Diceros bicornis minor: one gene and its partners. Each later gene encodes a partner of the first gene's protein in a complex. Links are inferred from orthologs where the notes say so. Each region holds a gene or a part of one and is shown on either strand. Other genes may lie near its edges. The genes, in order: MED8, MED25, MED1 and MED20.

Region 1 (7,936 bases):
GTCAGGCTTGGTTCTCAGGTGGTCAGGAACCACCTCATGGCTGAAGACAGGCACTCGTCCTTCAGTCTGCCGCTGTAACACACAGATTTTATTGATCCTACTATGCACTCCAAGAAGATTCAATCTGGCCTGCTATATAGTTTCTTCCACAGGCAAACACTGCATTTTCAGGGAAAACACAACCTGAGACTTATAATATCTAGCTTCCTAGGACACTATTCTCCTCACTCCATCCTTTATTTCTGTCTCCTCACACCTCTGTCTCTACCAGACCTGGGGGCAAACTCTCTCTACCACATTTTAATCTAAGAGTGAAATAGACAAAGTCACAAAGGAACATACTTTTTGCTAGAGATAGGGGTTGGAGGAGAAAGGTCTTTGCCTTGGTGACACAGGCCTCAGGTTAATTCACCACTATTTGGGAGTGGCTCCCCCAACTCCAGAAGGACAAAAAGCAAGGCCTCCAAAATGCAGCCCTTGCTTCTTATTGTCACACACTACTCCACATTCAGAACTTCTAGAATAACCAACCAACAACTGTGCTCTGAGTCCTCATCTAAGAACTTAATTCCCCAAGTTGTACCCTTCTCCTCCTCTTACCATGAGATCTTCATCTCGGTCTGGGGACAACACCAGAGGGATGATGACCTGGTTACGGAAGAGTGGTGTCTTTTCATGCTTCAAGACCTTGTTCAGAGTGTTCAACTGTCCAGAGAGCAAGGCAAAGCTGTCCAGGACAGAGGGCCTGGTGGTGGTAAGAGGGTGTCAGAATGTTCCCAGTAAAGCAGCCTAAAAGGGGTCCTTCAGACTAGGAATACCCAGACTCACCCCAAAAAGATTCATAGCCCTGTGGCTGGGCTGGGCAGGAACCAGACTGGCTCACAGGGATTACGTGGTTAGGAAAGAGGGACACACTTCAGTTTCTGACATAGATGGAGAAAAAAGGCAGGTCATTATTTGAATGGGGTGAGGAACAGTGGCAAAATAGGAACCATGGCTACACTGTTATCACTAAAAATTCAGAAACTGGGTAAAAGCCTCCTTTCTAGCCTGGAAATAGGATCCACACTCTCCGAGTAGGTGGACCTAAAAGACTCAGCACCATCTATGCCAAGAAATCCAATACGAATACTGTATTCCTACTATAGTGGGAGGATACACTGAGGGAGGACCTCCTCCTAGAAAAGTCAAAGGGTGAGAATCAAAAGCTAGAAAGAACCTGGGTTGGCAAACTGGGCACCTCTCTACTTCCTTGCAGTGGAGGCCCTAAGCCAAACTCCACTTGTTATATGTTGGGAAACCCAGTTCTTTCCAAACAAAAAAATAGTTGCTAACTGATAAATGGTTACATCACTGGAGATGTCCTATCCACCAAGAGTCCTGGCTCCCCACTCATGGAGCCCTCCCCAGCTTGCTCTGGCAACCCTTACCAGGTCAGCCGGTCATACTCGTTCTCCAACTTGTAAATGAAACCTCCCAGTGAGTTCTTCAGATCAGCCACTTGGCTCAGCAGTGCATCTAACGATGCTTCAAGCTGCTTCTCCTCCCTCTGCACCAATAGGAATAGGTTGGTTACCCAGACGGGTGTGAGTATGACACACACAGAGGAAGGCTGAAATGCCAGGATGACAGTGTGCAACACCAGTCAAGTAACACAGGATCTTGTTGGCATAGAAGAGACAGGTTTTTGTCTATCTTTGGTATTTGGGTTATAGACAGCATCAACCCTTAGACCTTTAAACCCATTCACATGACATCAATTCCTCCTGCCAACTGATTCCTTTCTTGCATCATCTCCTAATCCATGCCTGGTTTTTCTCTGTATTAGGTACTAGTGTCTCTCACTGAGAAATTTTCACGAGACCTAATGCCTTGGATTTATTATCTTTTGCATATCTCTGCAGCATATGTACTCCAGCTTCCTCTGTTCTAGAACTTGCCTTGTGAACCTGGCTGTTCTTGCCAATGACACAATCTCTGGGAAATCTGCCTACACATGAAGGTTTCTCTGAATACCGGCCTTGCACCACCACCTCCCCCCTCTTCATTTGCCCTCAGCATCTGATGTTTCAACCTCCTCCTTGCTGAATTAATCTGCACTCATTTTATCTCTGTGCCAATATTCCTGTGCCCCTCTCACAAGCTTTGTCAACCTATAGTCGTTTACTGACAGACTACCAGTGCAAGAAACTAAGACTGGTTTCTTGCACCACTACCAGCTGCAAGAAACTAAGTGACAAATGAAAGACAAAAAAATGCACATGGTCCTAAACACTAGACAAACAATTTTAAATGCTGGGGGGGGGTCTGCGACGCATTTCCTTCCCGTTTATGGTCTCCAGTTTTACTTCATTTCCTCATCCTTAACAACTATCAGGCACAGGTTGGGAAGAATGATGCAAAACCGTCTTGCAAACTCGCCAACGTGTAGAACAGGAGCCTTGATCCTTGGTTCCGCCCACGGCCTCAGATTATAATTACCTTAGCTTTCGGCCACCGCGGTCCCACAATTCTTTCACCCTTCGGGCTTCCCTCCAATTACAGATGCCCTGTTATGTCTGCATCCAACAGCGTCCATCCAACAGCCTAGGCCGGGGCCTGAGCCAGCCCATCAGTTCCCCGAGCCGTCTGCCTTGGATTGCATCTCAACCTTCCCAAATTACAACCTGATCCTTTCCCACACTGCAGCAAGTCAGTACTGCCTCCTCCCTCCCAACCTCGCCGCATCTCTGTCTCCTGTCAGCCGGGCTCCACCCCATCTCTCATCCGCGTCTCTCCCTCTCCAGTCGGCGTCGCCCCGCATCCCGCGTTCCCTCATCCATCAGCTGCGGGCTCTGCTCCCTCCTCTCAGCCCCAACTCCTCACTCTCTCCTCAGCCAGCCCACTCTCGGTCCGGTTATCCGAAGCCAGATAGCGGTCAAGAGCCCCCACCAGGCTCACCTGCATTGCGGCGGCAGTGGCGGCGGCGGCGACTTCCTCTTCCGGTTTCCAAGTCAGCCAGCCACTCGGAGAGGGCGTCGTCCACCAATCAGAAAACTCAGAAGTCGGCCCTCGCACTCATTTCTGGTTCCGGTCGGGAGCGCGGTAGCCGGGTCAGGGGTCACGAGTGGAACGTCTTTTCTGGCCCCGGCCGGCGCGGGAGGGCTGTGCGATGGCCTCGGAGCGCCCGGAGCCGGAGGTGAGAGGCGGGCGGGCGCAGCGCTGGGCCCCGAGATCCGAGGGGGAGGATCAGGCGGCCAGCGCGGCCCTGACCTCCTCTGGGTCTGGGTGAGGCCGGGCCGCGTAGCCGGGCCCTGGACCGGCCCAGCCCCGAAGGCCGGACCGTTGAACCTCCTCCCCGCAGTCCGCACTGTCCTCAGGGGCTAGAGAAACTTCGTCGCTTTGTTTTGTTTACTGAAATTTTATCCACGTCGCTGATTTGAGGGCTCTCGGATTCTTTGACCTGATAATGGTATTAACAAAACCTGTGTTTTGACTTTCTGTTGCAGTTTCAGTGGGCAGCACGGCATTAGACTGACTTTGCCGTTTTCTGCATTTCTTCACACTGGAATTCCATAAATAGCATGAATTAATTTAGTTCTAGCGCTCATGCTTTTGGAAAGCAGCTTTGGTGTCGTGAAAAGACGTTTGACTGGGAGTGAAACCTTGATCCAGTATTGGTGCTGCCGTTTAGCAATCTGTGCGACTTCGGGCAAGTCTTGACTTCCCCGATCCTGTTCCCTTCTTCGTAAAATACCTACGTTATGGTGTGTTGTGAGGATCACATGTATTAAACCAGAAAATGCATAGGAGGTATCTGTAAAGCGCTAAGGACCATGCAAGGAGCTTTGTATACTACATTGTGTTATTCAAACTTGTGCAAGGAAGGTGGCAATATCCACTCTCATTTACAGATAAAACTGAAAAGTGAGAGAGGTTAAGTACCTTACCCAAGTGCTACTCAGTTGGAGAGTAGCCGAGTTTTGGAGTTAGAAGATCCGAGCATAACATCTTAGATTTGGAAAGAATGACTCACTAGGAAAGGTGCCCAGTATTATAAAAGAATGTTTAAGTAGATGGGAAGGATGAGGATGTGTATAACGACACAAATAGTAGTCGTTACTTAACGCTATCCCATGCCGGGCACCTTCTAAGCACTTGACCAATATCAACTAATGCTCTCAACCCTGTGAAGTAGACACTATTGTCATCCCCATTTTTCAGTTGAGGAAACGGAGGCACAGAGATGTTAAGAGTAACTTGGGGCCGGCCCGGTGGCGCAAGCAGTTGAGTGCACGTGCCCCGCTTCGGTGTCCCGGGGTTCTCACAGGTTCAGATCCCCAGCACCACCGGTGCACTGCTTGTCAAGCCATGCTGTAGGGGCGTCCCACGTAAAGTAGAGGAAGATAGGCGTGGATGTTAGCTCAGGGCCAACCTTCCTCAGCGAAAAAGAGGAGGATTGGCATCGGATGTTAGCTCAGGGCTGATCTTCCTCACAAAAAAAAAAAATGTTAAGAGTAACAAGTTACACAGCTAATAAGTAGTAGAGCTAGGACTCCAAAACAGGTGGTCTGCTCCAGATCTTGTGTTCTTAACCATAATGTTTATAGTATAAATAAAAAACTAGCCACAGGATGGTAAATCTCCAGTCCATTAGGATTTGGTGTGATGAGACCCGGGATTGAATATGGCTGTAGGAAACTGCCGTATTTAAAGGAATCAGACTTGTTCACAGGGTAGTGAAATAGCTCATGCATCAGAAATATCAATATTGAGAACTCCGTGAAAGAATTTGGAGTATGTTTCATTATGAATTAAAATGAGAGGAAACAGAGGGATGTTGTGGGGAAATACAACATACCTTTTAGGCAGATAGTCTAAATTTCCAATAGAAATCTAATGCAAGCTGTAAAAATAAATTTTCTGGTAGCCACATTTAAAAAAGGTAAAAAGAAACAGGTGAAATTAATTTTAATGTATTTTATGTATTTCCAAAATGTTATCATTTCAACATGTAATAAATATAAAAAATTATGTGGTATTTAACATTCTTTTTTGGTACCAAGTCTTTAAAATCCAGTGTGTATTTTACACTTACAACACATCTCGTTTGGACTAGCAACATTTCAAGTGGTCAGTAGCCCCGTATGGTAGCAGCTACCGTATTGAACAGTGCGGATCTAAAGTAGCTTGGAGTCAAGACACATACTCCTGGGAGTATTCAGCCAAAAATTAAACATTTGTTAAGTTCTGGATTTGCATTTCTGAAAATTTTATCTCAGAAGGTAAAGGGAGTGAAGAGTTCTGCCCCTGGGCAAAAAGTGACTGATTTTTAGAGGTTTTTTACAATCCCGAGAGAGAGATAGAGCATAGTCAGATTTAAGAAATCATTCATTCATCAAATACTTAACATATTTTATGAGTGCTACTATGGACTTGGAATTGTGCTAAGTATCAGGGTGGATACAGAGCAGTGTAAGACAGACATGTTCCCTATTGTAATGGAGTAAACATTGAATTATGATAATAAGTGCTGCAAAGGAAAAATACAGAGTGAGTGAGTGTTTAACAAGGGTTCTTAACCTATTTCGTTAAGAAGTGGTTGGGGGGGCCGGCCCGGTGGCGCAAGCGGTTGGGTGCGCGCGCTCCGCTGCGGCGGCCCGGGGTTCGCTAGTTTGGATCCCGGGCGCGCACCGACGCACCGCTTGGTAAGCCATGCTGTGGCGGCGTCCCATATAAAGTGGAGGAAGATGGGCACGGATGTTGGCCCAGGGCCGTCTTCCTCAGCAAAAAAAGAGGAGGATTGGCGGATGTTAGCTCAGGGCTGATCTCCTCACAAAAAAAAAAAAAAAAAAAAAAAAGAAGTGGTTGGGTGAGGGGGATCAGGAAGCCGCCTCAGAGGAATGACATTTAAGCCTGAAGAATGAGAAGAGGCAGAGCACATTACAGGCAAAGGCAATAGTGAAAATCCTGAGGTGAGAAGGAGCTTAGAGCCTTCAGAGAACCGAGAGGAAGCAGCTGATTGTGTGGGTGCTGTGTGACATGAGAATAGCTAACACAGTACTTACTAGATATCGTCTAATACTCGTAAAATCCTCACGAAGTAGGCGCTGTTTATCCCTGTTTCACAGAGGAGGAAGCGAAGGCACAGAGAGTTTAAGTAACTTCACCAAGGCCTTATATTGATAAGCAGCAGAACCAGCATTTGATCCTAGGCGCTCTAACTCAGGGGGAGTTGGGTGAGAGATGAGGCTGGAGAAGAAGATTCTGGTTGAGCCCATGCTAGAGGTTCAGGACTTTGGCATAAATACAGAGGTAAGGAATCTTCAGACAATTCAAGGGGGAAGAAAAATCTACGTTATTTCATGGGACTCAGCACAAGGGTTGAAAAAGGCTCAAAAATAATTTGTACCTTAACCATAAAGGGACAGGTGCAAAAAACAACAAATTAATGAGATGGGTGATTTCCTTCATCCTGGTATACATGGTATGCAGCACAGTGCCTGATGATGTTTTATTCATGTTGTTATAAATGGTATGTAGGCCTCAATAAATGTTCCCAAGAATGATAAGCTTTTTCTCTCATAGTTCTGACTCCCTTGTTTAATTGCAACCACATCCTTATGAAGTAGATATTCTTATCCACATGATATCAATGAAGAAACTGAGGCCTGGAAGAATTAAGTAACTTGTCCAAGCTCACCTAGATAGCAAGTAGTAGAAGCAGATTTGAATCCAAGTCTGTGACTCCAAAACCCTGCTTTCTCTTTGCCAGACTGCTCCAATGCACCTCAGACTCAGGGGGATTAAATGTGGGAGAATTGAAGCTTCATGTGTGTGGATGCTGTGAGAACACAACTAATTCGGGAATTCTCAAACATTAAAGTAGAAGAATCACTTGGGGAGCTTGTTAAATGTAGATTCCTAAGCCCCATCAACTCTAATTGGTCTGGGATGGTGCCCAGGAATCTGCATTTTAATAAGCACCTTAGGTAATTCCGATGTAGTTGGTCCTGGGGTCCCACTTTGAAAAATACCATTCTAGCTGTTTAAATTAATTCTTAAGTCGTCTGATTCTGATAAATTACATCTTGAATGTGAAGAAAACTTAGAGATGGTGTTTTGAAAATGTAGTTGTTGAATTGGAAGGATCGTGTATAAGGGGATGTTGCAAGAAAGCTCGAGTTAGGCAAATGCTCCTGGCTTCAAGAAAGTGGATTCTATAAGAACTGATTGATGAACTAGACTTTAGTTTGGCCTTGGACAGTCAGTCTATCATACAAAATAACCTTTGAGACAAGGTGGAGAAATGGAAGCTGTACAGTAGTGGAATTAAGCAGCCTACTAACTAATAACCTGAAGAAAGTTTTCTAATAGCACAGTGCTCGGCTATACCCTCCATCTGGTTTATCTCCCTTTCCCTGCTCAAGCTTCACTGTCACTTTCTCCTAAGACCCTAGCCTGAGTCAAGTTACATGCTATCATAGAACCATACTCTGATCTTTTAGTACACCTACTCAGTTTGTAATAATATAATAATTAGTGATTATTTGATTAATGTTTTTTTCTCCATTAGAGTAAATTTTGTGAGAGCAGAAAATGCCAATTCTTGCCTTCCTTTGTATCCTTAGGACCTAGCCCAGTGCTGGCATGTAGCAGGCTGTCCATAAATTTGTTGACTGATGAGTGAATGCATGCTCACCTTGCCTTTGTCCTGTTTGGACTTGGATGAGGGCTTGATGGCATCCTGATCAAATTAGCAGGGAAATTAAGCTGGAAAGAGGTTTGCTAGAAGACAGAACAGCACTCTAAGCTTCTCGATAGAATAATACACTGAATTTATCCAGTGTAATTGTGTGTGTCCAAAAAGTGCATGAGGATAGAATGGGGGCTGTGTCTTAACAGCAGCACAAGCAAGAAAGTCAGGGAGGTTTCCTGAGTCAACAGTATGGTAAAG
Region 2 (7,793 bases), on another chromosome or scaffold:
TTCCTTGGTGCCAGGCCCTGTGCTGCGTGCTAGGGATTTGAGGGATATCAAACTTGGACTCGGGCCTCAAGGAGGCCCCATTTAACATTACTTAAGTCTTATCACCATCTACGCCAGCGGTTCTCAACTGGGGTGGATTTTGAACCCCCCCACCCGGGACATTTCACAATGTCTAGAGACGTTTTTGTTTGTCACACCTTGGGAGGGAAGTGGCCACTGGCAGCTGGTGGGTAGAGAACAGGGCTGCTGCTGAACATCCTACAATGTACAGGACAGTCCCCACAACAACTATTGTTATTTGCCCCAAGGTGTCAACAGTGCTGAGGCTGAGAAACCCTGCCCCATCCTGACTACTAATTCTAATGACCACGAGGGGACACAGCAAACACTTAGGTAGCACCTAATACCCGCCAGGCACCGTTTTAAACAGTCAGCAACTCATTTAATTCCCAAAGTACCCCTTTGAAGTCATGGCAGCCAGGCCCCCACTGACACCGGCCCCCTGGTACTCACACCCACTCAAACACTGAACAGGACCGACTTGTGTACTAAACAGAATGTGGCAGAAGCGATGGTGTGTGACTTCCAAGATTGGATCATAACAAGCCTTGCGGCTTCCACTGTGCTTTCTGTGGGATTGCTCCGTCTGAGGAAAGCCAGCTGCCATGTTGGGAGGACACTCAAGCAGCCCCACCGGGAGGCCTTGTGGCTAACAGCCAGCAAGGAATTGAGGCCCCCAGCCAACAGCCATAGGGTGAGCCACCTTGGAAACAGGTCCTCCAGTCCGTTCAAATCTTTGAGTGACTGCGGCCTCAGCTCATTGTGACTGGAACCACAGGAGAATCTGAGCCAAAACCTCCCAGCTAAGCCGCTCCTGAATTCCTTACTTACAGAAACTGCAAGCGGTAATAAATGTTTGCTGTTTTGAGCCAGTAAGTTTTGGGGTAACCTGTTAGGCAACAGTGTCTGAGTCATACATAAATAACTAACACAAGTACTATTAACACCCCCCTTTAGAGATAAATTATATTAGGCAGAGGGGGCAGGGACTCCTGGGTCTGGGAGTTCTGTCCTGGTACAGCTGTGGTTTGGCCCCAGGCTGTCCACACCTGCAAGAGCCTGCAGTGTGAACTATCAAAACTGGATCCAAAGCACAGAGGGATCTATGTCGGCCTAGCCCCTCCCCCTGCCTTCAGGCTTCAACGTGCCCATGAGAAACAGGAGAACTGGAGTAGAGATGAGAAACAGCCAACAGAAAGGCGAGAATCACACATGGAGTAGGAGGCAGGTGCCCAGGCCCAAGAGGCCTCCTTGACCAGCAAGTTTTTTCTACTTTCGAATCTGATGGCAAAATCGCTGAGCGCACACAACCCACAACGGAAGTGACTTATGGACAAAAACACCACCCCTCTCGGTCCTTTCGGCCACCCCATATGAGGCAATGGTTCCTGCAGCGCCAACCCAAGCCGCCACCCGTTCACGGCCCCTCAAGGGTCCCCCAAGCCGCCCCAAGCACGGGGAAAAACTCACTTAATGCCATCGAGCCAGGTGACGAACTCATAGGCGCTGCTGGTGGGAGCGTGACACTGTACGTAGGACTCGGGAGCGCAGTCCACCGTGTTGAACACCACCAGGCTGTACTGGGTCCCCCCATACTGGGAGGAAAGGACAGAGAACTTTGCATCTGGATCCCAGCTCCCTCAGAGAAGGAGTCCGGGCCCCCGGCGTCCATCCCCCCGCCCCCTCCTCCCCCGGCCCCGGGAGTCCATCCCCCGGCCCCTCCTCCCCCGGACCCGGGAGTCCGGGCCCCCGGCCCCTCCTCCCCCGGACCCGGGAGTCCGGGCCCCCGGCCCCTCCTCCCCCGGACCCGGCAGTCCACCCCCCGGCCCCCTCCTCCCCCGGACCCGGCAGTCCACCCCCCGGCCCCCTCCTCCCCCGGACCCGGCAGTCCACCCCCCGGCCCCCTCCTCCCCCGGACCCGGGAGTCCACCCCCCGGCCCCCTCCTCCCCCGGACCCGGCAGTCCACCCCCCGGCCCCCTCCTCCCCCGGACCCGGCAGTCCACCCCCCGCCCCCTCCTCCCCCGGACCCGGGAGTCCGGGCCCCCGGCCCCCTCCTCCCCCGGACCCGGGAGTCCACCCCCCGGCCCCTCCTCCCCCGGACCCGGGAGTCCACCCCCCGGCCCCTCCTCCCCCGGACCCGGGAGTCCACCCCCCGCCCCCTCCTCCCCCGGACGCGGGAGTCCACCCCCCGGCCCCCTCCTCCCCCGGACCCGGGAGTCCACCCCCCGGCCCCCTCCTCCCCCGGCCCCGGGAGTCCACCCCCCGGCCCCTCCTCCCCCGGCCCCGGGAGTCCACCCCCCGCCCCCTCCTCCCCCGGCCCCGGGAGTCCACCCCCCGGCCCCTCCTCCCCCGGACCCGGGAGTCCACCCCCCGCCCCCTCCTCCCCCGGACGCGGGAGTCCACCCCCCGGCCCCCTCCTCCCCCGGACCCGGGAGTCCACCCCCCGGCCCCTCCTCCCCCGGACCCGGGAGTCCGGGCCCCCGGCCCCCTCCTCCCTCGGACCCGGGAGTCCACCCCCCGGCCCCCTCCTCCCCCGGACCCGGGAGTCCACCCCCCGGCCCCTCCTCCCCCGGACCCGGGAGTCCACCCCCCGGCCCCTCCTCGACCTCGGACCCGGGAGTCCCAGGACTCACGTCTCCCCCGAAGTCCGTCTCGGCAGGTGGACCACCATTAAAATATCTGTGGGGTCGAAAGTGAAAGGTCGGGGTCAGGCCCGGGGCTGTGGAAACTGCAGTGGGAGGGCGGGGTTGGAGTCGCGGAAACGGTACTCACTCGATGGCCGGGAGCAGGTAGTGCTTGCGGAGCCCCTCGAAGTACGGCCCCAGGTTGGCCGTACCCTCGATCACAAACACCACGTCGGCCACTAGGCCCCCGGCGCGGGCCGGGCCCTCCGAGCCGGGGACCATTCCCCCGCGCCGCCGCCGCCACCGCCGCCACAGTCACCGCGACAGGGGCAGAAGTGCGCCTGCGCTGCGCGCGCGCCCGCGCCTGGCGGCTTCGCGCCGCCGCGGACGCGCCCGTCGCCATGTTTGTGCGGGGCACCCAGGGCGGGCGGGTCTAGCTCCATCCTCGCACGCACCACGTGGAAGACTCAGAAAGGCCATAGCAAGCCCTTTTGGGGGCCTGATGCGGAAGACTGAATTATTGGCACGACTGTCCAGAGCGAAATATACCGACAGAGGCGCAGCCAGCCGCCATCTTTGAGCGGGGCGCCTGTCCCGACTCTGGAGTCTCTGAGAGGATCAGGGGAGCTGGTTGCTGTGCAACGCGTACGCTGCCCCTGTTTTCTAACAGAGAGATTAGGTTTCCGCTTAAGTTCTTTGTGGAGCTGGAGGGTATGGGGGAGGGTCCTGTGAAGGGTCCAATCATATCGTCCGAAACCGGGTTTCTAGGCAACGCTTTAAGGTTGCCCTCAACTCCGAAGGGAGTGAAGTTGTTTTTCTCCCGAAAAGAAGCCGAAATCCAACCCAAGCAGTCGTTGCTAGGCAACACCAGATAGTTGTTTTCTGGGAGAGGGGCCAGAAACCGGCCTAGAATATAAATACATACCAGGTGGATTAAAAATGTGAGTACAACAAATGAAACCGTAAAAATATCCGAAGGAATGAAGAAACACAGTGTATAATCCTGAAGACTGGAAAAAGGGTTTATCGTTACAGCAAAGCCAGAAAACAAGAGATTGATCAGTTTGTCCGCAAAAGACTGGATAAACCAAGTTGAAAAAAAAGACGATAAACTGGGAAAGTCATGGTAACATATGTGTTGACAGAAATGTACTACACAAATCCAACTTACTGATCAATGAAAACTTAAGAAAATAGAAATACTTTGTTTTTTTAATGAGAAAGAATCTAAGCAGGGTTTTCCCACGCACATACAAAATAAAAATGGCAAATACCTGAAAAATGCTCATCTTCACCAATTAACAAGTGCTAACAGAAAGTCCAATGATATTTTATTTTTGTCATGTTAATTAACATTGGGAAGAATAATGTCCACGAGGGTGGAAGGGTTTGAGGAAAAGGAGCAGACTCAGAGTAGTCTAGTAGGGGCGGAAATCAGGACGCTTGCCCTAATGCATTTTGGCAATATATTTCAAGGTAAAAGGGTGCATTCTCTTTGCACAGAGCAGTATTATCATATTGTCACATTTACCTTGTTCATCCCTTTTTTCTTTTATTTTCTTTGCCGAAGACTTTTAAAGCAAATCCCCAACATCACATCATTTTTCCTCTACAGGCTTAACAGGCATCTCTAAAAGGTATGGCCCTTTTCTTACATAACCACTGTGCCATTATCACCCCTAACAAAATTATTTCTTAGTATCATCGAACACTAAATCCATAATCAAATTTCCCCAATTCTCTCAAAATGTCTTTTTACAATTGCTTCATTTGCATCAAGATCCAAACAAAGACCAAACACTTATTTAGACATGATCTCTCTTAAATTTCTTGAATCTAAAGCAGCTCCCTTCTTTTCTATGGCACTGTAGTGAAATTTTTAATAAAATTATAAGGAAGATAAAAGTAAATTGGAGATAGAAAAAATGATCAACGGGTAAGAAGATTAAAATGGTACCTAAAATTAAGATCTGCCCTATTAACTACAAGGAAACTTTTCTTTAGATAAGCTGAATGTATGATTGGTTGTATTAACTGTTTTTTAAACCATTTCCATTACTGTATTACAAAGGGTACAATAAACAGTTAGATATTTTAGCCTGGACTTCAGCTTCTGGCATTATGATGGATTAGGTGTTATAACACTGTTTTTGTGACATTAGTGGTTGCATAAGAGGTAGGAACAGTTTTCAAGACTCCCCCTCCCCCAAAAAAAGACAGAGAACCAGAAATTAACAAAAAAGAGGGGGTTGGAGTAGAGCTGAGTGCAGGGGAAGGGGCTGCATTGGCATTACCAAGAGCCTGAAGGCAGGTGTGAATTGGAAAACTGAGTCTGGTTCTCCAGCTAAGCAAAGACCTTCTGGGGCAACAGAATTGGTTCCAGGTTTAAACACTCATGGCAACCTGCAGAATTAGAAGTAAATCCTCCACAAAGGACTCAGGTCAATGTCAAGTAATGAGTTCACAGTCAAAGACCACCAGCACAGAGGCTAGGACTATGAGTCAACAGAAACAATAGTTAACAGATGTAGACCCCCACCCCCAGGTCTCCATAATGTGCAAAATGGTGGGAGAAATAAAGGAAATTATCTAAGTTATCTTGTGTTGTGTAACAAATTACCCAAAACTTAGTGGCTTAAAGCAACAACATTCTTTCACAGTTTCTGTAGATGAGGAATCCAGGCAAGACTTAGCTGGCTCCTATGCTGCAGAGTCTCTCACAGGCTGTAATCAGTGTGAGCTAGGGCTGTAATCCTCTCAAGGCACAACTAGAGAAGGATCTGCTTCCAGGCTCACTCTCATAATTGTTAGCAGGATTCAGTTCTTCACAGGCTGTTGGCCAGAGGTTGCCCTCAGTTCCATGACCTCTCCTTTGGGGAGGTCACAACGTGGCATTGGTTGCAGCAGAGCAAGCAAGAGAGAGAATACAAGGAAGATGGAAGTCACAGTCTCTGTAACCTAATCTCAGAAGGGACATCACATCGCTTTTGCTAAATTCCGTTGTTAAAGGCAAGTCACAGGTCCCATGCACACACAAGAGGAAAGGTAGTGAATACTAGGAGGTGGAGATCATTGGGAGCCATTTTAGAAGCAGCCTATCACAGACACAATCACAAAGAACAGCCAGCATCAAAAAAATATGGAGGGGGCCAGCCTGGTGGCATAGTGGTTACGTTCTCACACTCTGCTTCAGTGGCCCGGAGTTCATGGGTTCGGAATACCCAAAGGAAAAAAGAGAATGGAGGAGAGGCAATATTTTAAGAGCTTACATAGCTTATGGCTGTATATTTTCTGAAATTGATTAAAAAATATTAATCCTTGGATCCTGGAAGCACAAAGTATAAAATCATGATAAAAAAGAATTACTGGGGCTGGGCGGGTGGCGTAGTGGTTAAGTTTACACGCTTCACTTTGGCAGCTCAGGGTTCGCAGGTTCAGATCTTGGGTGCAGACCTATGCACTACTTATCAAGCCATGCTGTGGCAGGCAGCCCACATACAAAACAGAGGGAGATGGGCAGGGATGTTAGCCCAGGGCCAATCTTCCTCAGCAAAAAGAGGAGGATTGGCAAGGGATGTTAGCTCAGGGCTAATCTTCCTCACCGAAAAAAAAAGAATTGCTCACCTTGACTCATCGTAGTGAAAGAGAAGACTAAAAAGTACCCAGAGGGAAAGAACAGACCTCCACAAAGAAATTTTATGTAGAATGACAGCCAACTTCTTAACAGCAAAAACAGAAACTAGAAGATGGTGGAATATGTTAAGAGTTTTGAGAAAAATTAACTATCACATCAGAATCGTACGATAATGAAGGTGGGGGAAAGACATTCCAGGTACTAAAAACAGAATTAACTCCAGCAAACTCTCTAAAAGACAGAGAGGGCCGGCCCCGTGGCGTAGTGGTTAAGTGCGTGCGCTCTGCTGCTGGCGGCCTGAATTCTGATCCTGGGCGCCTCAGCGAGGCACCACTTGTCAGGCCATGCTGTGGCAGCGTCCCATATAAAGGGGAGGAAGATGGGCACAGATGTTAGCCCAGGGCCAGTCTTCCTCAGCAAAAAGAGGAAGGATTGGCATGGATGTTAGCTCAGGGCTGGTCTTCCTCACACACACAAAAGACAGAGATATTGTCAGTATAATAAGAAATATATATTTGGTCTTTGTTAGGTTTCCTGGCACAGAGCTCCTAAAACCTTTGTAAATTTCTGAGTGAGACGGGTGGTAGGAGCATCTTTTGTTATAATATTTGGTCTTAGTCTCTGGTTGGTTCCCGACACAAGAGCTTCTAAGACCTTTGGAATCTTTGGAGAGAAAAGAGTGTCTTTTGGTATGCTGGTGAAATGACTCATGGCTGGGGGACCCTAGATGGCTTTGGGGTGGGGTTGGTCACCAGAAGGATCAAGGCAGGATTAGAGGGTTAGAACTTTCAGCCCCATCCCTGACCTCTGGGGAGGAGAGAGGAGCTGGAGATTGAGTTAATCACCACTGGCCAATGATTTAATCAATCATGCGTACCTAATGAAATCTGCACAAAAACCCCTAAAAGATAAGGTACTTGGCTACCCGGGCCCCAGTAGGGGTGCAGGGCTACCCCAGGGCCCCCTAGTCCTCGAGGACTGGCAGGAGACTGACGCGAGCCTGGACAGCCTGGGAGACAGAGCCCGGCGGGCCGAGGAGCCAGTCACCAGCACGTTGTGGATTCTGAAGAAGCTGCAAAGGCAACTGGCAGCGGTGGCTGTGGGTACCAAGCAAGAGGCCCGGGGTGCAACTGGCATGATGGCGCCCCCAGGACCCCTTGCGCCTCCTGGGTACCCAGGCAAGCAGGGAGCCCATGGGCACTCTGGCCCTTGGGGCGTTCCTGGCATCGTGGGAGCTGTGGGTCAGACTGGCAACACAGAGCCCAAGGGAAAATGTGGAGAGAAGGGTGACCAGGGATCCCAGGACTTCCTGGCTGGCGTGGCCAGGAAATCAATGGCAAGGATGGAGATCAAGCGTCCCGGCGCCCCTGGAGAGGCAGGCCTGCCAGGCCCCGTGGGGCTGCCCGGCTTCTGTGAGCCTGCTGCCTGCCTTGGAGCCTCAGCCTAGACCTCTGCACGCCTCACGGAGCCTGGG
Region 3 (7,254 bases), on another chromosome or scaffold:
AGAGCTTGACAGAGTGAACAGGTGAAGCTAGTACTGTAGAAAAAGAGCTTGACAGAGTGAACAGGTGAAGCTAATTAAGAATAAATTGCAAATTCTACTAGTAGTATAAATACAATAAAAGTACTATCACATTAGAATCAACAGCTTGACAGGAAGTGAAGAATAAATGTCTCTCTATAACAATCTATCCTGTGTGCCTCTATAGGTGTATTTCTTATCACCTTTGCCTAAAGTAACCCAGTGTACTGTAACTCATGATTAACACCATTTTATAAATATACCTCCCTCTTAGACTCTTAAAGTTGATAGCCAGTGTACTCAGGTGTTTTATGATAAATAAAACTGCAGACACACTACAATAACTACTTTTAAAAAGTCTACACAGGAGCTTAGCTTATTAAATAATTATCTAAGCACAACACTTTATCCACTTCACTACAATCCTCACCATGACTTGACGCACAAGCTTAATGGTTTCACTCCAAGGTCTATTTTGGTTAAATTTTGCATGGAGCCGTTCCAAGAGAGAACTCATCTTACTCAGCTTTTCCGATTCTACGATATAAATCAGAAAACATAATTAGAAACTCTTCTTTCAAGACCTTCCACAGTTTTTCCTGCAAATGAAACTCCCATACTTCCTCCTGTTAAGAACTCAGTTAAAATATTTTTCAGTGTCATTTACTTCAAAACATACAAAGAGGGGCTGACCCCATGGCTTAGCGGTTAGGTGCACGCGCTCCGCCACTGGTGGCCCGGGTTCGGATCCCCGGCGTGCACCGACGCATCACTTCTCTGGCCATGCTGAGGCCACGTCCCACATACGGCAACTAGAGGGATGTGCAACTATGACATACAACTATCTACTGGGGCTTTGGGGAGAAAAGGCAAAAAAAAAAAAAAAAAAATACAAAGAAATTTATTTTTAATGATAAGAAGACACACAAATTATGGGTCTAATCTAACAAACACCATAGAACAAGACTGCTTTCTATTCAAACTTTTAATAAGAACCAAAAAAAGAACCATCTCTAATAATGTTTCAGGATTGAGACTACATTTCATGGCAAAATCATTTCATGATATGCATGAAATCCTTTGTATGATATATGTGGAGCATACATTTGAACATGGCCTTACTATGATTAGTTGGTTTTCAGTGTGAAAATACAGACTTTCTTAATTTTTTGACATAATTTTAAGAGATCAATTTATAAGTACTATCAAGAAAACAGGCTTTATTTCCCATTCAGATTTTTCCTATTTGAATTCAAACTAAAACTATATGGACAGGGAAGACATCACTGACTAAAGACACCAGTGTTTTGGACAACAGATACCAGGATGAGTTTCCAGCAGAGGTAACAGAAAGGTAGAAAAGACTGGCTCCTGGATTAGGTGTGTGAACAAACCTACACTCTCCAACCCTCTTCTAATTCTTGTACTGCTTAGTATGAGCAAGGACCTGTGCTAGAGACCACTGGCAATGCAAAAACACACAATATGCCTGAGATGACATCTGTGAGGGGGTGTGGATAAGTTAACGTGGAAATAACCATCACACAAAGCCAAAGGAGATATGCTCTTAAAAACAGAGACACATTCTATTGAAATTCAAAGGAGGAAAAGTTCATAATTAGTTGCGGAGATGCTACAGAAAAGATGTCATTGAAAGATGAATAGAATGTCAGCAATCAGAGTTGAGGCAGTGACATCTTCTAAATCAAGATTCAAACACCTTCCTCCAATGCCCTCATCTTCTGGAAAACTGGTTTGGGGGCTGTTTCAGCCAGTTTATAGTTCTGGACACAGTTCTGGCAATTTCCACTTTCAAGACTTATTCATTCAAGCACTATTGTACGTGTGGGGGCTACAACAGCGAGCAAACTAGACAAAATTCCTGCCTCATCGAGTTTCCATTTTTACACTTGTCATTCCTCTATACCCAAGGAGTATACCTTTCTTCTTCCTCTCATTCAAAACACACTCCCCTTCTTTTCCTTGAGAAGCCTGAAGATAAATATCTTTACACAAATGTTCAAATCAAACATTCTTTGAGCAACTATTATGTGCCAGGGACCATGCAACGATGAGGAACACAAGGGCCCTGATCTACAAAGCTCAGAGTAAAGTGGAGAAGAAGAATTAACAACAATACAGTGAGCTGTATCAATAGCACTATGTCCAAAATACTAAGGAAGCATTTAAGCCAGAATGCGAAACTTTAGAGAATCTAAGTAAGTTTCCACAGAAAAGTCATTCTTCAGCATTTCTAAGTTAGGCCAGCCATTGAAAGGATGAAATTCAGCGCATTTTTAAAATATACAATAGCACAAGATCGGAACACTGTGGCATTCTAGGGAACTGCTGGCTTTTAATATTTTAAGGACCTAATCATTTCCCTTACGCCAAAACATCCTCCAGTACTTTGACACGCAGCTCTGTTATTTTTTGTCATTATTCAGACGTCTCTTCTGGAACGAGATGTAAGCAAGTTTTAGATTCACTCGCCTGTTCTCCCATCACTTTAGACTAAAAACGCTCTGAGGCCCAATTGATTGCCCCTAGCTATGCAGGAAACCTTCACAGAAGTTGGGAGCCCCCATCACCCCAAAGTCGGAGCTCTCCATCACCAGGGAAGGCACAGTCAGAATATAAAACCCACACATACCCCGCCTCCTGGACTCTGCGCCCCCGGGAAAGTGGCCCCCGCGGAGGCATCGGTCCTCTTACAGCTCCTCTTACAGGTTGGCTCCCCCCAGCTGTGTCCCGCCCCCCTCTTTCCCCCTCAGTCACTCACCCTCGGTTTCCCCCTGAGCCTTCATCCTGACGGTGGGGAGAGCCCGATTCCTACACAAGAGGATAAGCCCTTCCCCACCAATAACGGGGGAACCAAGTTGGTTCGGGATCCCGGGACGCAGGGCACCAGCAGTCCCCACTCTTCCCGGGAAGGCTCAGTCTGAAGTCCCCGGCGGCAAGAAGAGAAGGGTGCTCGCGGCCGCCGCCATCTTCCCCAACGGAACTTCCCAAAAATCGCGAGATTAACCGTGATCCTGCGAGAGAGAGGAAAAGGGCTGGGCACCAAAATATCGCGTAAAATGGTTAATAGGGTGCTTCTCGCGAGATTTTTCCAACAGCGTTTCCTCTTGTTTGTCTCAGAGTCTTGGAGCTAGGCGTAGAGTTTGCCGGCGGGTGCTCTTTAGGTCTTTCGCGAAAACTGTCGTCTTCCTTTTGGCATTTAAGCAATTCGCAGATTAAAATCCCCCACTCTCGTTACTGAAAGACTAGCTTTTCGAAGAATATTGGTATCGGAAATATTTTACTAAAGATAGTATGTTTTCTTGAGATACTAGATGGATTAATTATGCCGTAAAAAAGATATTGGCCGGGCCGCCCGGCGTCGCGGTGAAGTTCGTGCGCTCTGCTTGGGCGGCCCGGTTCGCCGGCTTGGATCCTGGGCGTGGACCTGCGTACCGCTCATCAAGTCATGCTGAGGAGGCGTCCGACATAGACAACTAGAAGGACGTGCAACTATGACACACACAACTGTCTACTGGGGCTTTGGGGAGAAAAGAGGAAAAAAGAAGGAAGATTGGCAACAGATGTTAGCTTAGAGCCAATCTTCCTCAAAAAAAAAAGATATTGGCTCTTTGTAACTTGACGTTCCAAGCCAGCCCAGTACCCTTAATTCCTATTTCCTAATTTTTAATTTCAGACATAATTTCTTGAGCAATTCCAATATTTTTGAAGATCTGGGAGATTTTGGATTAAGGTAAATTGTTAGCAATCAGAGCATCAGATGCTATTAATTATATTTTGAGTCTTAAAGGCGTTCACAACTGATTGTGTCCCTTTTTTGCAATCATAGTCAAAACAAGCAGGTTAGCTCACACTCTACAAGTCACAAAAATGTGTAGTCGTATCTCTTGTATCAGTAAATCCTCACAAAGAGAAATTTGGGGTAATGTTGAGAAGTTCATGGCCGCTGGAACTGAAGAACCAGGCTAAAATATAACAATGCTAGCATTAGGTGAAAGTTCTTAACATAATTAAGGCTACTTTTTTTTTTTTTTTTTTTTTACCATACACATCCTTGAAAATAACTGCTGAAAAGTTGGATTTTATGTAGTTTGCTGCAAGGATACTAAGGAGTGGACTTCTGCTGGATCTCTAGTCTCAGACTTTCCCCACATTTCAAAAATGCTATTCAAACATCCTCCAAAGCGATTCCAGCAGATAACTATAGTTCAGGTGAGCAGGCACAGCAGTGTAAATTTAATAATAACAAAACTTTGGAAATGTCTGGGAACATGTTTTTATTGCCACAAAGATACCTATAACCATGCTCCTTGAAAGTAGAATTCAAATTTTATTTCCTGCTTATTCCTCTTATCCTCATTCCTTTGAGTCACTACATAGTGAGTTTCTTGGGGCAGGAATTGCCCCTCATTTCTGAATTCCCGCTACCTAGCACTATACCTGGGCCTAGTAGGCAAATCTTTTCCTGGGCCTGTAAAGCCTTGCTAGACCCAGCTCTCCTCCCCTTGCCAACCCCCAGCCACACTGGGCTTCTTCATGTGCAGAAAATTCCTGCACTCCTTCCTCTCCCAAGGTCCTGGAACAGGCCTTTTTAACTGCTGGGAGGCTTTCCCCTATTCCAGTCTTTTCATCTCATTAAGGCCCTCTTATTCAGATTTCAATTTAAATCTCTCTTCCTCTAACTAGCAAAGCAAGCCTTCTCTAATCCCTGATTTGATCAGATTCTCTGTTATATTATTATTTCTTTAATAGCACTTTCACCATGAAAATTAATTAAGTGCATGATGATTTCTTCAATGCCTGTCTTCCCTACTAGACTGTCAACTCTGGGAGGGCTGCACTGGTTTGGTTTCTTTCACTACTGTCTAGTGACATTGCCTAGCCCAGCTCCTGACACATATCAGCTACTCAGTGTATAGTGTTGAGATAAATTGATAGGGTTGCCAGATAAAATACAGAATGCTCAGTTAAATTTGAATTTCAGATTTCTATATTTTTTAGCGTAGAAGTATGTTCCGAATATTATATAATGTAAATCTAGCAACCTTAAAATTGATGAAGTACACACAGCATTTATCCACGAGAGAATTTCCAAAGATAGTTCATATTTTAAATGCTATTTCCTTTCCTGTTGTCAAACAAAGTGCTCTTCATTCAGCAAGTATCTATGGGGTCCTAATACTTGTGTATTAGGAGCTGGTAATATAAACATGAAAACAGCCCTAGCTCTTGATGGGCTCACCTGATTTAGACTTCTGAAAATATGAATGGTCGCTATAATCATAGGTACTCAAAAAATTTTTGTTAATTTATTATTATGCCCAAAGTATCAATGTTAGCTACACAGCTACACTTCCTCATGGAAACTCTCTGTACAAGTAAACAATAATGTCTGTTCTAAGTGTAGCTAGAAATTTTAACCCTTATAAAGCTTGAAAATGGAGTACACTTTACCAAATTCCGCTCATAGAATAGAATGAGAAGTTATAATTTCTCATCTGAAAATGCAGATGAAATGACATTGTTAAAAAATTTGTACTCTAGATGTAAAGATAGGAGAGATGTGTCATTAAACAAGAAAAGCATTTAAGGCCCACACAGGAACCATCTTTCTACATGGCAAGAAAGAGACAATGGACAGATTTTAAGGGACTCATCTTTGAGGGAGACTTTGGAGGACTCTTGAAATCTAAAATCTAAACCAATAAATTAGGGGCCAGCCCGCGGTGGCGCAAGCGGTTAAGTGCGCGCACTCTGCTGTGGCAGCTCAGGGTTCGCCGGTTCGGATCCCAGGCGCGCACCAACGCACCGCTTGGCAAGCCATGCTGTGGCGGCATCCCATATAAAGTGGAGGAAGATGGGCATGGATGTTAGCCCAGGGCCAGTCTTCCTCAGCAAAAAAGAGGAGGATTGGCAGATGTTAGCTTAGGGCCGATCTTTCTCACAAAAAATAAATAAATAAACAACAAATTAGTCTGGGGGGGGCAAAGTTATTGTAACTTTAGTTAAATATTTCCTCTTGTGTACAGCCTAAAGAGAAGCTTTCTGACCTGTTTTGGGGGATTTACAGAGAAAGTATAGTCATTACCTGACTGATCACCTTGGGGTTCACAGATTTGCCCGGACTCCCTGCCCCGGGAGGTCATGCAAATAAAGCAAATGGCACAGTCCTGGAATTTCTGAGTTCAAAGTTTTTCTGTAGAGTGAACTAACCTTTATTTTACAAAAGCAGTATTCTCACTAGTTGTTGAACCAATCCAGGCAGTTTACAATCTGAGATTTCCAGGAATAGAATTTTTTCCCCCAGCTTTATGTAATTGATGTTAGAGTAGAATTTTATCCACCAAAAAGAGAAAATGTAGTGCACTAGAACGAGTACTGGTTTAGGATTAAAGAAAGAGCTGTCCCTGCCCCTGGCACTGACTACATTTAGTATAAATGTGCTCCTATTCTTTCTGAGTCTCAGTTTCAACCTTTAGTAGATGCATATAATAATACCCATCCTGGCTACCTCACCAGGTTATTTATTTGTTCAACTGATATTTATTGACAAACTTAAAAGAGTTCTGTGGAAAACTGAAAAGTGCTATAGAATATAAGATATAAAACTTCAATGAAAAGCTTCACTTTTTTAAAAATTTTTATTTATTTATTTTTCCCCCAAAGCCCCCGTAGCTAGTTGTATGTCATAGCTGCACATCCTTCTAGTTGCATGTATGTGGGACGCGGCCAGGCCAGAGAAGCAGTGCGTCGGTGCGCACCCGGGATGCGAACCCCGGCCGCCAGTAGCGGAGCGCACGCACTTAGCCGCTAAGCCACGGGGCTGGCCCCACTCTTTTTTATCTTTAATCAAGATTTATGGACTCAATACAGGTAGGGGCCAGCCAGTGGCTTAGTGGTTAAGTTGGTGTGCTCTGCTTCGGGGCCTGGGGTTGGCGGGTTCAGATTCCGTTGTGGACCTATGCATCAAGCCTTGTTGTGGTGGTGTCCCATATACAGAATAGAGGAAGACTGGCACAGATGTTAGCTCAGGGACAATCTTCCTCACCAAAAAAACCCCCCACAACATTTAGGTAAAAAACTTTTTTTGGTACCCATGAGACCAAAAGTAACAAGAACATTTTCAGGGAGTGATTTTGAGAGTGGATTCTTCTGCCTTCATTCAGAATTATTAGGCTCCTAATTTACTGGGTGATCTTTCCTTCTTTGCTTAGA
Region 4 (7,136 bases), on another chromosome or scaffold:
ACACCTGTGCCACACGTTTAAGAATACCACCTTTAGCAGAAGAACAGAAAGATTTCAATGAACATGAACATCTATCAACTCCAAGCCAGGTTCCAGCCATCACACAGACCCTTCTCACTGACCTTGACTGCCAAGGGTAGAGGCAGCCGTGTGGTAGGTCTCACAGTCCACACAAAATGTTCCTTGCTTCTCTGCCCCAAGCATCTCCAATTTCCTGGTGAGGAGCTCCACGGTCTGCTGGACACTCTTGCCCTCAGCGACAGGCATCTGGGACACACTGGAAGGGAGAGTACCAAACCATCAATATGCAATGACACATGTGCACTCGCTGAACCACTCACTCACAGAATCACAGCTCATCAGGGCCAGAAATTAACTTCGAGACCACTGACCCTGACCCCCTCATTTTAAAACAGAGGAAATAGAGGCCCACGGTCCCTGAGGACATCTCTCAGGACTCGCAGAGAAGTGCAGTGAACTTCCTATCTATCACACCAGCACTTCCCAAGCGTAGCATGAGAAAATTTTAGGTGGCACACAGACTGAGCCCTCGATAACACTGAGTTGTATAATGAGCTTTGTGATTCTTTCACTTCTGACTGTATGAAGGAGAAAGCCTCAGTTTGGGGATAGTGTATTTTTACCAACTCTACAACACTTTGAACGTGCACTGTCCAGTACAGCAGACACAAGCCACATGTGGCTATTTACACTTAAACTAATAAAACAAATTAAATTAAAAATTCAACTCCTCTGCTGCAACCACATTTTAAGGGCTCAATAGCTCAATAGTGGCTGGGGGCTAGGGTACTGGACACTGCTAATATACAACATTTCCATCACCACAGAAAGTTCTATTCGACAGCCCTAAGATCAAAAAGAAAGCAAGCCTCGAGTTTATAATCTTCGGGGATGAGAGGCAACAGTACGTACAAGAATTTAATCAAAACAATGAAACAAAAAACGTTATTTCCAAGATTTCCTTCTATGGTGAGTGAAATTGGCTTCCCCTTTAGAGGGGTGGGTAAAAATCACCAAGCGCAAACTATGTGCCAGGCAGTGTCCAAAGGCCTTCAGATGAATTAAGTCTTCCAATCCTCACAACAGCCCTATAAGATGTGCTATTATTTATCTCCTTGTTACCAATGAGGAAACTAAAGTACAGAGGGGTTGAATAACTCACACAAGGTCACACAGCTTGGTGTGCTGTAGCAAAGATTCAAAGCTAGGCAAGCTGGCGCCATGTCCACACTCTTAACCACCATACTGGACTGCCTCCCTAGGGACACAGTTGCCTGTTAAATACTTTAAAGGAAAATAAATAGATTTAAAAGAAAACACTAATAAATAATAGTAGAGCTGGTACTTGGCTATACAAAAGTCCTAAGGAGAATCATATGTGAGTGAATGTTGGGAGACACTGCATTACTTTAGGATCAGTCAACCAAATGAAGATATAAAAGTAGAGTCCTGACGTTGCTAATAATTGTCACTACTCTCCATAAGAAAAAGCACTGATAGGGCCGGCCCCGTGGCTTAGCGGTTAAGGGCACGCGCTCCGCTGCTGGCGGCCTGGGTTCGGATCCCGGGCACGCACCGACGCGTGGTTTCTCCGGCCATGCTGAGGCCGCGTCCCACATACAGCAACTAGAAGGATGTGCAACTATGATGTACAACTATCTACTGGGGCTTTGGGGGAAATAAATAAATTTAAAAAAAGAAAGAAAAAGCACTGATAAGCAATGATAATGATGTGCCTTATTTTGAAATATAAGAGACTCCCTAAACTGATGCTACTGAGGTCAGAAGTCCTAGGAGTCGGAGAAAGTTGATAATGGTCCCAAAAGAGAGCCCTTCCCTCTGTAGGCCTTCTCTATTGAAAGAACAGGGGCTCCAGGGTTCCAAGCCTCTGTGCTTCAAACTTTGCATTCCCATCGCTCACATATCCCCTTACACTAGAGAACCTGAGGAGGCTCTGATGACAACTGTAGGAAACAAAGGTGCAATCACCAACAAACCTCAAGAACCTGGGTTATCAGGAGGAGTAGTGCCCACAGGTTCTTATAGAAGAAGCCTACAGCCACTAGCTTCAGATATCCTGGCCTCCAGCCCTCTCTGACTGGAAAGATGTTCACACTTCCCGGTATTAAAAAAAAAAAAAAAAGCCCTGAAATCTAGCATTTTGGAACTAATGCCTCCAAGAGCATTAGGCCCACACCTTTCCCTGCCACCCAGACTTATAACATGTTAGAGCTAATAAGTCCATAAAAACTAGACCAACCATGTAATTAAACATAGTAGGAAGGGATCCTGAAAAGGTGACATGCCTGGAACCCCAATCTCCTAATTCCCAATAGCTTCTTTTTTACCTCTAGACAGAGAATCTTAAAATGGTCAAACTAGAACCAGATACAGGCTGGTCTAACTGCATTTAGCGGCTGTAAGGAGGAGCAGGCGAAAACCTAAAAAAGATACTGTCTCCTCCTTGCCTATCCCTCAACCCCTCCAGACCTGCCTGCAGATGGATCCTAGTCCGGACATCCTATTTCCGACCCTAAAGTTCCACCCCCAGCAGTACCACAGCCCCACGGGCAGGCATATGGACCAAGAAAAAACGAACGAGGTACACAACCATTGATGGGTTCCTGGGATAAAACCTTTTACCAGCCGCCTTCCAAGAGGAAGGGGCGCATCTCTGAGGAAACAGGCCCTGAGACTCCGCGACCCTCATGGTGTCCCCCTCACCCACACAATCCGAGGACATCTTGCTCAGCTCCTGAGGGACGGCGGACCCTGATCTCGCTCCTCCTCCCGGGTACAGTCCAGGCTCCAAGGGCCCCTTCACGACCCCAAGCCCCGCCCCACAAAATCCCTCGCACTCCTACCAAGTCACTCCCATGGTGTCGGGCCAGGAAGGTGGCAGGATCCAACAGCTGAAAGGCAGCGCTTTCTGGCCGCCCACGCTAAGTGAAGCCCCCTACCGCCAGGCTCGCTGGAGGGAGGTGCTCCGGAAATGACGCAAAAACAGAGCGCCCAGTCGACGCGCCCACGAGGAACAGGGGCTTGTCTAGGCGCCTCCTCGGTGACGCATGCAGTGACGTCACTGTCCGACCCTGGCCCAGGCTTGCCGCGGGAGAAATTCTCATGTGGCCGGGCCTAGATCCATGAAGCTAGGAAAGCGTGGCTCGGCCTGCCACCACTTAGAGAAGCCAACGTTAAAGGCAATGAGTTTATTCAGGAGTCCTGCTCCAGGACCAGTGAGCTCTTTTAGGGGGTGGGGCGTCGCTGATGGCACTCCCGGCCTCCGAACGCTAGGGAACGCTGTGATCGCCGTCTCGCCTGTTGGGCGCGGGGTTCACTGCGCAAGCGCAATCAGGGCTTTTTCCCGTCCCCACGTGTGAACCTTCCCGGCGAGGTTTTCGAGAAAAATGCCCAAATTCAAGGCGGCCCGCGGGGCCGGGGTTCAGGAAAAACATGCGCCCCTGGCCGAGCAGATCCTGGCTGGGGACGCGGTGCGGGCAGGGGCCCGGGAAAAGCGGCGGGGCCGTGGAACCGGAGAAGAGGAGGAAGAGTATGTGGGGCCCCGGCTGACCCGACGGATTTTGGAGCAAGCGCGGCAGCAGCAGGAGGAGCTGGAGGCCGAGCATGGGACCGGGAACCGGCCCTCGGTGCCGCGGGAGCGCACCACGCGGCTGGGTGAGTGGCGGGGGCTGGGTGCGAGGAAGAGCGCGGTTAATTGGAGTGGACGGCTGAAAGATGTCCGCCACGGGAATAACTTGCAATAAAAAATAAAAGGAGCGTGGTTTATATTACCACCTTGCAAAGGTAATGGAATGGGAGACCCAGCCCTGGAGCGAATTTAGGGTGGTCAGAACCCTCCACGCCCACTCATAGTTTTAGGCACTCCTTTCTAGGCACCCCCGAAGTTATGCCAACAGGAAGCGATTGCTCACGCTACTAAGTTTTCCTAGCATTTATCCATTTGTTCTCTAATTACTTATGGGATGTCTACTACGTGCTTCGCACTGTGCTAGTTTAGATGGTTTGGGTAAAGAAGTAAACAAGATAGACTTGTGCCTGATTTCAGGATATTAAAGTCTAGCCCAAGAGAGAGACAATTAAAATAATAATTGTAATATATTATTATAATAATATTACATTAATACTATTCTAATAATAATAATAATCTCAACGATAAAGAAAGTATAGTTTCTCAGATAACAATAGCATTAACCTTGGGGGTCGGGCTTCCCAGATTGCATGACCTTTGTGCTGAGACCTGAAAAACCAGTGCAGAGTGTTCTGAGCAGAAAGAACAATATTGTGTAGGGGCTAAAGAGGAGAGAGATTAATTAAAAGGTGGTCAGTATTTTTTTATTAGGGTGAGTGTTGCCCTCCGAGTTGCTTAATCCATTTCTCAGATCTCATCTTTCATTTGTCCGGAGAGCAGCATTTGACACAATTGAACACCTGCCTCCTGGCTGCAGTATCTTTACTTGACTTCTAAGACAGTGCATTCCTGTTTCACTACTTCTTCACTTCTCAATAGTCTTTTCTGGCTCCTCTTTTGTCCCCAGCCTCTTATCATTCAAGAGCTGCAGAGTTCAGTCCTTGCACCTCTTCTCGTCACTTCTCTGGTGCTGTCATCAGTTTCATGGTTTAAACACCATCTATTTGGTGACTTCTCCCAACTTTGTATTCTAGTCCTGCTTTCTTCCATGAAGCACAGACTCGTATATTTCAGCTGCCTATTTGGCATCTCCCATTTGAAGTCTAATAAGCATCCCGATTTTAACGTGTCCAAAACAGAAATCCTGACCTTCTCGCCAAACCTGCTTCTCTCACTGTCTTCCTCATCTCAGTCAATAGCATGATATCCTTCCTTTTGCTCAAGACAGAACCCCTGGGCTCCTCTCTTTCTTGGTCCATATCTGATCTGTTAGGGAATCCTGTTGACTCTACCTTCAAAATATATCCGGAATCAGACCACTTCTCACCACCTTGGAACACCATCCTGTTCAAGCCACTGCAATGTCTCGCCTGGATGATTGCAGTAGCCCCCTAATTTAGTATCCCATACCCCCTATAGTCCACTCACAGCTCAACAGCTAGAAGATTACAGCCGTCTACAAAGACCTGTGTGATCTGCCCCTGTTGTTCTCTTCACTCCACCCATATAGGCTTCATTCTTTCTTAAACATGGCGAGTTAGGGCCGTGGTTGTTCCTTCTGTCCTCATACGCCTGTAGGCTTACTCCCTTAGTTCTTCACCTTCTCAGAGAGGCCACTCCATTAAAAATGGCAACATCCCACCCCTGTCTCCACACTCCCGAATGTCTCTACTCTGCCCTGTTTTCTTTTTTCATAGCACGTGTCTTCTTTTAACCTAATATATATCATATTTATTCATCTGTCTCCCCCATTAGAATGTAAGCTCTGTGAGGGTAAAAAGTTTTGTTTCTCTTGTTCGCTAATATATGTTCAGCACCCAGAACAGTGCTTCACATATAGTAGGCACTCAGTGTTTGCTAAATGAATGGATTAATGAATGATGGTGAGGTAGGTAGGAGCCAAATCCACAAAAGACTTGGAGGCTGTGCTCAGGATTTAAAGCCATTCTAAAGACAGTGAGAAACTATTGGAGTATATGGAGACCAGGTAGGGGATTGTTGAATTAATCCAGGCAAGAGATGATGCTGCTCTGCTTAGACAGAGCTGTGAAGGATCTGGGAGATATTCTATGAGGTAGAATCGAATAGGACTTGGTAATTGATTGAGTGTTGGGGGTGAGGTCAGGGGACGAGGCAGGCCTGCTTCCCAGGTTCTGCCTTAACATTGGGTAGATGGTGGTGCCAGTGTTCCACATGTGGAACACAGTGAGTAGTGTAGACCTAGGAGGGAAAGAGAATGAGTTTGGTTGGTGACAGGTGAAGTTTGAAATGCCTGTGGGCCATCAACAGTGGCTGTACAGATGCAAGTGTACTTCCCATAATGAGCCAACATAAATTGTTGAAAAGATAAGATGACCCTTTTGTGAATTCTATGGAGGAAGAGGAATAAAGGTTGTTACAGGAAAAAAAAAAAAAAAAAGAGTGGCTGTACAGGAGGCAGCTGGAGTTAGAGTCTGCAAGGAAGGGAGATCCACCGACAAGTACAGATTTGGGAGTTGTTAGTAAGTAGAGAGAAAACCTCTGGCACCACTCCCCGCACTCATTTTGGTTTTATCACACACTGCCTCTGTTTTGTTTTGTTTTGTCTTTTTGTGAGGAAGATTAGTCCTGAGCTAACATCCGTTGCCAATCCTCCTCTTTTTGCTGAGGAAGATTGGCCCTGGGCTAACATACGTGCCCGTCTTCCTCTACTTTATGTGGGACGCCACCACAGCATGGCCCAATGAGCGGTGCGTCAGTCCACGCCCAGGATCCGAACCTGCGAACCCCAGGCCACCGAAGCAGAGCATGCGAACCTAACCGCTATGCCACCGGGCCGGCTCCACTGCCTCTATTATTTATTTATTTTTTTTTTGTGGGGAAGATCAGCCCTGAGCTAACATCCGTGCTAATCCTCCTCTTTTTGCTGAGGAAGACTGGCTCTGAGCTAACATCTATTGCCAATCCTCTTCCTTTTTTTCCCCCAAAGCCCCAGTAGATAGTTGTATGTCATAGTTGCATATCCTTCTAGTTGCTGTATGTGGGACGTGGCCTCAGCATGGCCAGAGAAGCAGTGCGTCGGTGCGCGCCCAGGATCCGAACCCAGGCCGCCAGTAGCAGACCACTTAACTGCTAGGCCACTGGGCCGGCCCCACTGTCTCTATTCTTAATGACCTGTTCATATGTAGCATTTCATCTCCCCGCTTGGATTATCGCATCCCTTTCCAGATGCCCAGCCAGCTGTAGCCTTCCAGTCTGAACTCCACAGTCTGGCTTCACTTTACCCATCTAGCCTTATTTCTTGCTACTGCTTAAGAGACACTCTTGTAACCAAGCACTTTTGCCCGTGTTGTTACCCAGATCCGGAACACACTCCTCCAGTTCCCGTACTGCCTATCCAGAGGCTAACCATTCTCTGCATCATCATCTTCTAAGTGCCTGTGGTATATTCTGTCTCTACCACTCGTTTTGGCATAAAATCAGGCCC

Evidence for each region.
Region 2: MED8 (region 1) and MED25 share a complex: the UniProt entries of both Homo sapiens proteins name them as parts of the mediator complex. The link is inferred for Diceros bicornis minor from reciprocal best matches to the Homo sapiens genes MED8 and MED25.
Region 3: MED8 (region 1) and MED1 share a complex: the UniProt entries of both Homo sapiens proteins name them as parts of the mediator complex. The link is inferred for Diceros bicornis minor from reciprocal best matches to the Homo sapiens genes MED8 and MED1.
Region 4: MED8 (region 1) and MED20 share a complex: the UniProt entries of both Homo sapiens proteins name them as parts of the mediator complex. The link is inferred for Diceros bicornis minor from reciprocal best matches to the Homo sapiens genes MED8 and MED20.

The regions. Positions count from the first base shown.
Region 1 is NC_080752.1:6,335,891-6,343,826, forward strand, and holds the start of MED8 (mediator of RNA polymerase II transcription subunit 8), read right to left. Parts: upstream 3,001-7,936; 5' UTR 2,947-3,000; coding exon 2,941-2,946; exon of another isoform or gene 2,877-2,940; intron 1,550-2,876; coding exon 1,431-1,549; intron 746-1,430; coding exon 601-745; intron 73-600; coding exon 1-72. Other genes in the region: KICSTOR complex protein SZT2, read left to right, coding at 3,152-3,178. UniProt on the Homo sapiens protein: Component of the Mediator complex, a coactivator involved in the regulated transcription of nearly all RNA polymerase II-dependent genes.
Region 2 is NC_080773.1:25,175,329-25,183,121, reverse strand, and holds the start of MED25 (mediator of RNA polymerase II transcription subunit 25), read right to left. Parts: upstream 3,005-7,793; 5' UTR 2,968-3,004; coding exon 2,834-2,967; intron 2,741-2,833; coding exon 2,695-2,740; intron 1,656-2,694; coding exon 1,531-1,655; intron 1-1,530. UniProt on the Homo sapiens protein: Component of the Mediator complex, a coactivator involved in the regulated transcription of nearly all RNA polymerase II-dependent genes.
Region 3 is NC_080757.1:39,169,483-39,176,736, forward strand, and holds the start of MED1 (mediator of RNA polymerase II transcription subunit 1), read right to left. Parts: upstream 3,011-7,254; 5' UTR 2,826-3,010; coding exon 2,801-2,825; intron 556-2,800; coding exon 449-555; intron 1-448. UniProt on the Homo sapiens protein: Component of the Mediator complex, a coactivator involved in the regulated transcription of nearly all RNA polymerase II-dependent genes.
Region 4 is NC_080753.1:23,514,739-23,521,874, reverse strand, and holds the start of MED20 (mediator of RNA polymerase II transcription subunit 20), read right to left. Parts: upstream 3,001-7,136; 5' UTR 2,900-3,000; coding exon 2,886-2,899; intron 278-2,885; coding exon 123-277; intron 1-122. Other genes in the region: BYSL (bystin), read left to right, coding at 3,429-3,696. UniProt on the Homo sapiens protein: Component of the Mediator complex, a coactivator involved in the regulated transcription of nearly all RNA polymerase II-dependent genes.